Oryctolagus cuniculus: one gene and its partner. The protein of the gene in region 2 binds, or shares a complex with, the protein of the main gene of each other region. Links are inferred from orthologs where the notes say so. Each region holds a gene or a part of one and is shown on either strand. Other genes may lie near its edges.

Region 1 (3,796 bases), on a different chromosome or scaffold from region 2:
CCCAGCACACTGAGTTCACTGTGGGGAGGGGGAGGGGCACGGTGAGCGCACAGCTGAGCGGCCGACCAGACCAGACTCCCGTTTCCCACATGCTCGGTCTCAGTCATTTACGAAACCAAGTGCAGGAAACACCTACCAGTCACCGCTAACTCCAGCCTCCCCTACCACAGCGCAGGGACGTGAGCGGCCCCCAGCCGCGGCCAGGGTCGCCCCCACCACCCCCTCGGTCACCTGAGGAGTCGTGGCCCGTCCTTCCTGGGACCTGAGCGGCCCTCAACCGGGGCCAGGGTCCCCCCCTCGGTCACCTGAGGAGTCGTGGCCCGAGTGCTCGTGGGTCTTCTCCCAGGTGCCGCCCTCCTCCTTCCAGATGATGACTTTCCGGTCGTAGGAGCAAGATGCCAGGATGTTGCCATACATGGGGTGGGCCCAGGCCACCTGCCACACAGGACCCTCGTGCCTGCAAGGGGAGGGGACAGAGGCTGCTGCCATGTGGTCAACGACCCAGGTGCCCCGGCCGGGCGTCTCCTTGGGCGGAGATGAGTGACTTCCTGGGCAGGGAGAGCCGACGGCTGCCTGAGCACTTCCACGCGAGAGCCGTGGAGCGTCACTGCCCTCGGGATGCCCTGTGGACGGCAGGACCCCGAGGCCACGCGGCCCTGCGCGGAGTGAGGACTCTGGAAGTGTCCGTGGCCGGCCAGGCAGGGATCTCACCTGCACCAGATCTGCAGCCAGGGCAGCTCCGCTGACTGCGGCACGGGCGTCAATCCCCCAGCAGGTGCGCCTGGGGCTCAGGGGCACCGCAAGGCGGAGCCACCATTCGCCCGCCTTCCCCGTCACCTTGCCGAGGCGGCACTGTCCACCTGGGTGTTCGCGACGGGCACCGCAAGGCGGAGCCACCATTCGCCCGCCTTCCCCGTCACCTTGCCGAGGCGGCACTGTCTACCTGGGTGTTCGCGACGGCCTTCACCTGCTGTCACGCCCCCTGCTGGCTCTGACTCAGGCCAGGGTCACAGGCGCTCTGTGGCTTTACCTCTACCTGGAACGCAGGCGTCCGGAAGGCTCCCTCACAGCTAGGCTGGGGGTTCAGTGTCCGTGCTCGCTCAGGGACAGAGCCGAGAGGACGAGCAGAAGGAAAACCACTGACCACGAGCCAGCAGCGCTCCCCTCCGGGGACGACGGCTCACTCCCGTCCCACGCAGCGCTGACCGAGGCAGTCAAGGACGGGGGTGTGAAGTTTGTCACCGTCTAGCGCCTAACATTCTCAGAGCATAAGAAACTCATGTGGGAGCCGGCACTGTGGCGCAGCGGGTTAAGCTGCTGCCTGCAACGCTGGCGTCCCACGTGGGCACTGGTTCAAGGCCAGGCTGCTCCGCTTCTGACCCAGCTCCCTGGTATGGTACCTGGGAGGGCAGTGGAGGACGGCCCAAGTGCTTGGGCCCCTGCACTCTCACAGGGAGACCAGGAGAAGCTCCTGGCTGCTGGCTTCTGCCTGGCCCATCTCCAGCCCTTGCGGGCCAGCTGGGGAGTGAACCAGCGGATGGAAGGTCTCTCTCTCTGTCTCTCTGCCTGTGCAATTTTGACTTTCAAATAAATAACCTTAAAAAAAAAACAAACTCCCGAAACCTGCAGTGCTGTGCAAGGCAGCACCCTGGGGGGGGGGGGGGGGGGCAACCACAAACATGGGCCAGGGCTTCCGAGAGGAGTGACGTGGTGCGTGTGAACGGCCCTGGACCCCTGCGCAGGCCGACAGGCAGAGCCATGGCCATCCCAACGTTGCCGCCTGCACGGCCCCTGCAGTGCCGCTCCCGAGTGACACGTCGGTCGCCCTGGCTACGCCTGCACACAGCAGTACAGCTTCCACCTGTCAAGGCGGGGCAGTGGCCCCTGAAGGCGGGGCCCACCTGAGGGGGCACACCAGGGCTGAGAGGTCACACCTCGCCAGCCCCGGGTTTTCCTGAGAAGAGCCCCGCAGAGCCGCTGCCTGGCCCACCTGTTGTGTGCTGGGGGCAGCCGGGCGTCCTCACTGCTGAGCACACTTCGGGGTGCCTGGAACCCGGGCTTTCACTTCCTCCCCTGCCTGTGCCCTGGCGGCGCCCGCCCCCTGGGCACTCACCCTCTGAGGTCAGCGACGAGGATCTGCCCTCCGTTGCGCACATCGAAGATCTTGACGGACCTGTCGGAGGAGCAGGTGGCCAGGCGGGTGCCGTAGTAGTCCATCTGTGCGTCGTGCTGCAAAGGGAGACGGGGAATTCTGGGGGCCTGCGGGGGCGGGGCAGTGCGCACACAGGGGCGGGGCTAGCGTGGATCACGGTCTACCCACTTGGGACCGGCACCTCAGGCGGGAAGCCGGCAAGGCGGCCTCCTCACTGCTCTGCGAGGCCGCAGCCAGCTGGGCTCACAGACCCTTTGGGCTCCTTCCTCCATCTGGGCCCTGGGTCCCGCACGGGTCTTTGTCCCTGGGTTCCCTCACGCTTGTCCTTTTCCCAAGGAGCGGGCCAGTTACTCAGACACTGGCACCACCCTCGGATGCCCACAAACCACCCAGATCCAGGCCTGGCCCTGCCCACGGTTCTGAGTTCATCTGCGGCACCGCGAGTGGCACCTGCTGCAGAGGCCACTGGGAAGGCTCAAGGAGCCGCTGGATGACGAGCGCTTAGCACGGGCCTGGCGCACAGCGAGCAAGTTCCTCACTGCCGCTCTGCTCACCTGCTCCTCAGACCACACCGTGCAAGCGGGGCACAGCGGCGGTCTCCCCCCGAAGAAATGGAGGCCTGCTAGCTAAGCCGCTGCCTAGGGAGCCTCAGACCCCCGCCCCTGGTACCATGTGGCCGACAGCTGAACCACTCCTGAGGGAGTTCAGGCGACCTGAGCAACCCAAAGCGGCGGCAGGTGACAGGCCGTGAGGGCAGCAACGCAGGCAGGAGACGCTGTCCGTGGCCCAGGGACCCAGGACCAGGTCTCGCTCCCAGGCTGCCGCACGGCGGGGCCAGAGTATTCCTCCTGCTGTGGACTTTAGCCCCGGGCCTTCTCCTGCGCCCTGCCTCGGGCCACGCCCTGCATGAGGACTCCTGTCTGCTCTGCTGTCCCACAGCAGTCCTCTCGGGCTCCGCCTTTGCCAGTGGGGCCAGGCTGCAGTGGCAGGAGGAAGACAGAGGGGAGACCAGCGGCAGCCGGAGGACCGAGGGCCTGAAGCTACCATCGGTCCCCAGAAAAGGGGAGCCCGCACGACCAGGGCCCTGCCAGCTCACAGGGCACTGCCGGGAGGCGGACCAGCCACCGCCGCTGAACCACCCATCGGGGAGGGCGACGAAGAACTCAAGCGCTTCCTCTCACAGAAACGGGCCCGCGGCCGCCGGCGAGTACTCACAATCATGTCCTCGTGCGAGGTGTCCACGGTGTTGATGACGGACACCTACGACCAAAGACAGGCAGTCCATTACCCAGCCGTCACCGCGCCCCTCGCCGCGTCTGCGCCCCTCGCCCAGGACAATCGCTCCAACGACCTTCTTTGAGCCAACACGAGCGGCCTTGCCCTTGAGAAACGTGCACAAAAGTCACCCTGACACGGCAGTCAGCTCTTCCCGCGGGGGCTTCCGGGTGCGCAGGAGCCGGCGGGGCTCAGCCGCTGAGGAGGGACTGGCCGGGTGGCACGGGGAGAGAGCAGGCTGGGGAGGGGTCTCAGAGCACGGATGGGGCCAGACGGGGCTCGGGGCTGGGGGCCGCCCAGCCACCGCTGCCCTCCTGGGTGACAGAGCACGGGGCGCCCCGCAGTTGCTGATGAACAAAGCGCTGACCC
Region 2 (4,467 bases):
GCTATGGCCCGAGAGTCCAGTGGAGGACAGCCCAGGTGCTTGGGCCCTGCACCCGCATGGAGACCAGGAGGAAGCACCTGGCTCCTGGCTTTGGATCAGCATGGTGGGCTGGCCACAGCGGTCAATGGAGAGTGAACCAATGGAAAAGGAAGAGGAAGAACTTTCTCTCTGTCTCTGTCTCTCTCTCTCACTGTCCACTCTACCTGTTAAAAAAAAAAAAAAAAAAAAAAGAATGCTATTTCCGGGGCCACTGTGGTGGTGCAATGGGTTAAGCCACCGCCTGCAGCACTGGCATCCCATGTCGGTGCCAGTTTGAGTTCATTTTGCTCTACTTCCTATCCAGCTCCCTGCTGATGTATCTGGGAAAACAGTGGAGGGTGGCCAAGGACTTGGGTTGCTGCCCCCATGTGGGAGACCCAGAAGAAGATCCTGGCTCCTGGCTTTGGCCTGGTCCAGCCCCAGCCATTGTAGCCATCTGCGGAGTGAAACAGCAGATGGAAGACCTCTCTCTCTCTCTCTCTAATTCTGCCTTCCAAAGCAGGCAGGCAAGCAAGCAACTTCGGAGTCTGCAGTTCCCATCTTCACCACCAGTCCCGGCCGCAGCACTTCTGTACACGCTGCCGAGTCAGACTCACAACTGCACAAGCTGCCATCTCACTGATCCTCAAGGGTACACGTGCAAGTGAGCACTGCAGAGTTGCTGTCAAGTACCACATGTCCTTCACCACTAACTGGTGACAGTAATACCACATGGCATTGTTTTATAAAGCAAATAACACTTGTATAAACCAAAACAGTTTCACCTACAGACAGCAGGTTTACTCTGAAAAATCTAAAAGCTTTAATTTTTTAAAATCATTTTGACAAGATGTGGGATGCTTTGAAAAGTTTATTGTTTTGGCCTTTTCAGACAGGTACTGTGAAGAAGTTTCACTTTTTCTTTCCACATTAATTTTAAAAAGTTAATAGACTGGTTCCTGCCCCTCCCATTGATCACTAGAGTGAACCACAAAACCATGCTAATTCACACCAAGACACATCCTTCCACTAATCAGGAAAGCAGAAAGAAAAATAGAAACTCCCACAGGCAGCTCAATTACCCAATTCACTTTGTTCTCCTACTATGACAACTGCTGTTCAGGTTTAATTATTTGCTGCTACTTCATAGCATCCTAATATAAGTGTCAGCACTTGCTCTGCAGGTCTCTTCAATTACGTTTCTATTTCAAAAAAAAAAAAAAAAAAAAAAAAAAGGAGTGAGACTACCTGGGTTTCTGTGAGAATTAAAGGGTTTGCAGTTTAGTAGCTTCCAAATTAGCAGGCTCAGAGACAAACACACAATCCTGTTCTGTCCTAGCTCCCAGTGGAAGCAATTAATGAGAAAGGTGACAGGGATACGGTTTTTCCCTAGGAGTCTAGCACCTCCCCTGGGTGACTGGGCCTCTGAGACACCATGCTGACAGTGCCAGCGGCTTTAGGATCCCTGCATCCAAACGCTGCTGCTCAAAGCCTCGATAGGTGCTACTTATCCAAGGGCACACAGAGCAAACTAGTGGGAGGCTCCTCCACTCATTCATCTTTATGGCAAAGCAATCCAGATTTCCCTCCAGAAAAATCACTGGAGTATGGACACAAGGCCCGGCACAATGTTAGTATCTCAGTAACTCCTTGTTGAATAAATGAGTGAGTAGAAGTCTGGCACACGGAGACAGCTGAATAAACAGGCTCTCCAAGACACTGGCACAGGAGTGGGGAAGGGGGAACATGCTGTCTACTGTCAAACAACTGCACGACCCCGCGCAGATACCCACTACTAGGCAAAGTACTGTTCTGAGCTGACACACGCTCTGGGGGCAGTGCCTTCCACCAATGGCCCCATCGCGGGAGGCCTTGGCCAAGTCACTGGGGATGAAATGGGCATCAGCTTCCCCCTTTACACCTACCTTCCTTGCATGGTTCTTCCAGGAACCACAAAAAGAAACCACACATAAGCAGCTCAGCACAAGGCCCAACATACAGAAGTCACGACACAGAAAAGTGGTAAAATTCCTCAGTGAGGGCTCACGTTTTTCGAAGCGTAACATGTGCCCACCACTGTGTGTGTGTGAGAGACAGACAGACAGACACACACACACACGGATGACCGCCCCAAATCCTCACGCCAATCCCGTGAGACAGGATTACTCCTTCCACTGGTGAGGAAACTGGCACGCAGAGAGCGATGACAGCCTATTACCTGCGCCAGGATTCGAACCCAGGCAATACGTACAGGGTCCACTATCACAGCATCAGCAACCACTTAACCGCTTAGGCGTCGAAGCAGCCGCTTTGCGAGCAGCATTTCATGGAATCCACCTCACCCCACCCCCAAAACCAAGGGTCAGGTCCACGCAGAAGTTCCACGACTTGCTCGACGCCCCCTCGCTCACCACCTTGGGCATGAGGCACCTCCCTCAGCCCCCCAAGGCGAACCCTATTCCCTGTACCCCCTACAAGGAACCTCGACACCCCGTCCATGCCCACCCCAACTGTCATCAAGCGCCTCCCGCCCGCCCGAGCCTGACAGCTCCAGGTAACCGGGTAGTCCAACTCCTCAGCCAGAGCCGGGGGTCTCCCGGCAACCCCTAGGACCAGAGAGGCCGCGTGGGGGAGGGGAACCACTGAGGGCGCATGCCCAGACTGCTCCGTTCGGACCCCAGCTCACCTGGGAGTCGCGGAACTCCACCACGACGTTCTCGCTGCTCCATCGTGCCGCCATCCCCCTCGCACGACCTCAGGACAGGGCCCTCGCACCCCTCAGACTCGCGTCCCCAGGCTCCGTGAGCCCCACGCAGCCTGTGAGTCAGCCCTGCCACGCCCCGTCCCCCTCCCATTTTCGCCTGACCGCCAATTATTGGCTGACCCAAGCGACAGCCCCGCCCCATCTCTCCATCTCCTCCAATTGGCGCACCGCACCCACCCAAAACAGGCACGCCTCCTCTCACTTCCGTCATCAGCTTGAGCCACCCTCGCGCTCCGCGGGTGCGGACACGCCCCCCGCCGCGAGCTCTGCGGGGAGTTGTAGTTTGAGGTGGAGCCGCGCCGCGCGTCAGTGACTCCGGAAGAGCGCGCAGGTTAGCGTTTGCTTGAGGCACTTGTTGGTGTCCCCGGCATTTCGCCCAGACCCAGCCTACCAGGCAAAGCCCAACATTCATGCGAATCGAAGGAACCTCTTCTTCCCCTTTAGTCTGAATGCTGGACTTACTGTTTCTTACAATACAGTAGCGCCTCCCAAATGTCCGGGGATTCCTTGAGGGTCTCTGAAGACGAAGCAGTTTTCATAATCACATTAAAAAATCATTTTCGGGGCCGGGGCTGTGGCGCAGCGTGTTAAAGCCCCAGCCTGCAGCGCCGGCATCCCATGTGGGCGCCAGTTCCAGTCCCGGCTGCCCCTCTGCTATGCTCTGCTATGACCTGGGAAAGCTGCAGCAGATGGCCCAAGTGCTTGGGCCCCTGCACCTGCGTGGGAGACCTGGCGGAAGCTCCTGGCCCCTGGCTCCTGGCTCAGCTCTGGCCCTTACAGCCATTTGGGGAGTGAACCAGCAGATGGAAGATTTCTCTCTCTCTCTTTCTTTAACTCTGTCTTTCAAATACATAAAATAAATCTTTTTAAAAAATGATTTTCGGCCGGCGCCGCGGCTCAATAGGCTAATCCTCCACCTTGCAGCGCCAGAACACCGGGTTCTAGTCCCGGTCCGGGCGCCGGATTCTGTCCCGGTTGCCCTTCTTCCAGGCCAGCTCTCTGCTGTGGCCAGGGAGTGCAGTGGAGGATGGCCCAGGTGCTTGGGCCCTGCACCCCATGGGAGACCAGGAAAAGCACCTGGCTCCTGGCTTCGGATCAGAGCGGTGCAGTGGCCGCGGCGGCCATTGGAGGGTGAACCAACGGCAAAAAGGAAGACCTTTTTCTCTGTCTCTCTCTCTCTCACTGTCCACTCTGCCTGTCAAAAATTAAAAAATAAAAATAAAATAAAATAAATTAATTAATTAATTTTAAAAAATGATTTTCACTTTCTTTCCCCAGTGTAGCAGTGGAGTTTTCCAGAGGCTACGTGATAAATATTGCAGCGAATTGAACGTAGAAGTGGATGGGAGAAACCGACTGTTTTCTAGTAAGCCAAATGTTGACAAGATTTACAACTCCTCTCGCTAACATTTTTTGGTTTTGGAAGATATATTTAGTATTTTTCATTTTAGAATTTATTCATATGAATTAATTTTTCAATGAGATAATGAATTTTTTCAAATCCTGTTTTGATTTCTAACAGTAATTGCCTACATATACAGGCAACATAGAAATATTTTGTGGACTTTGGCCGGCGCCGTGGCTCACTAGGCTAATCCTCCGCCTTGCGGCGCCGGCACACCCGGTTCTAGTCCCGGTCGGGGCGCCGGATCCTGTCCCGGTTGTCCCTCTTCCAGGCCAGCTCT

What was found.
Region 1: the proteins of WDR59 (region 2) and SEC13 are in contact, whole or in part, in a cryo-EM structure (PDB 7UHY), measured with the Homo sapiens proteins. The link is inferred for Oryctolagus cuniculus from reciprocal best matches to the Homo sapiens genes WDR59 and SEC13. Residues at the interface, in NP_085058.3 of Homo sapiens: Ala525, Tyr526, Gly527, Asp531, Ala532, Asn533, Ile534, Pro535, Phe536, Pro537, Arg538, Thr539, Ser540, Gly541, Ala542, Arg543, Phe544, Cys545, Gly546, Ala547, Tyr549, Val551, Phe553, Thr554, Arg555, Met557, Ala644, Gly645, Lys646, Val647; in NP_899195.1 of Homo sapiens: Val4, Ile5, Asn6, Thr7, Val8, Asp9, Thr10, His12, Asp14, Met15, Ile16, His17, Asp18, Ala19, Gln20, Met21, Asp22, Tyr23, Tyr24, Gly25, Leu28, Val42, Pro59, Trp61, Gln62, His67, Pro68, Tyr79, Ser105, Asn107.

Annotation. Positions count from the first base shown.
Region 1 is NC_091441.1:116,549,339-116,553,134, reverse strand, and holds part of SEC13 (protein SEC13 homolog), read right to left. Parts: intron 3,413-3,796; coding exon 3,368-3,412; intron 2,230-3,367; coding exon 2,114-2,229; intron 1,851-2,113; exon of another isoform or gene 944-1,850; intron 861-943; exon of another isoform or gene 490-860; coding exon of another isoform or gene 458-489; coding exon 306-457; intron 19-305; coding exon 1-18. UniProt on the Homo sapiens protein: Functions as a component of the nuclear pore complex (NPC) and the COPII coat. At the endoplasmic reticulum, SEC13 is involved in the biogenesis of COPII-coated vesicles.
Region 2 is NC_091449.1:57,463,689-57,468,155, forward strand, and holds the start of WDR59 (GATOR2 complex protein WDR59), read right to left. Parts: upstream 2,868-4,467; 5' UTR 2,759-2,867; coding exon 2,705-2,758; intron 1-2,704. UniProt on the Homo sapiens protein: As a component of the GATOR2 complex, functions as an activator of the amino acid-sensing branch of the mTORC1 signaling pathway. The GATOR2 complex indirectly activates mTORC1 through the inhibition of the GATOR1 subcomplex.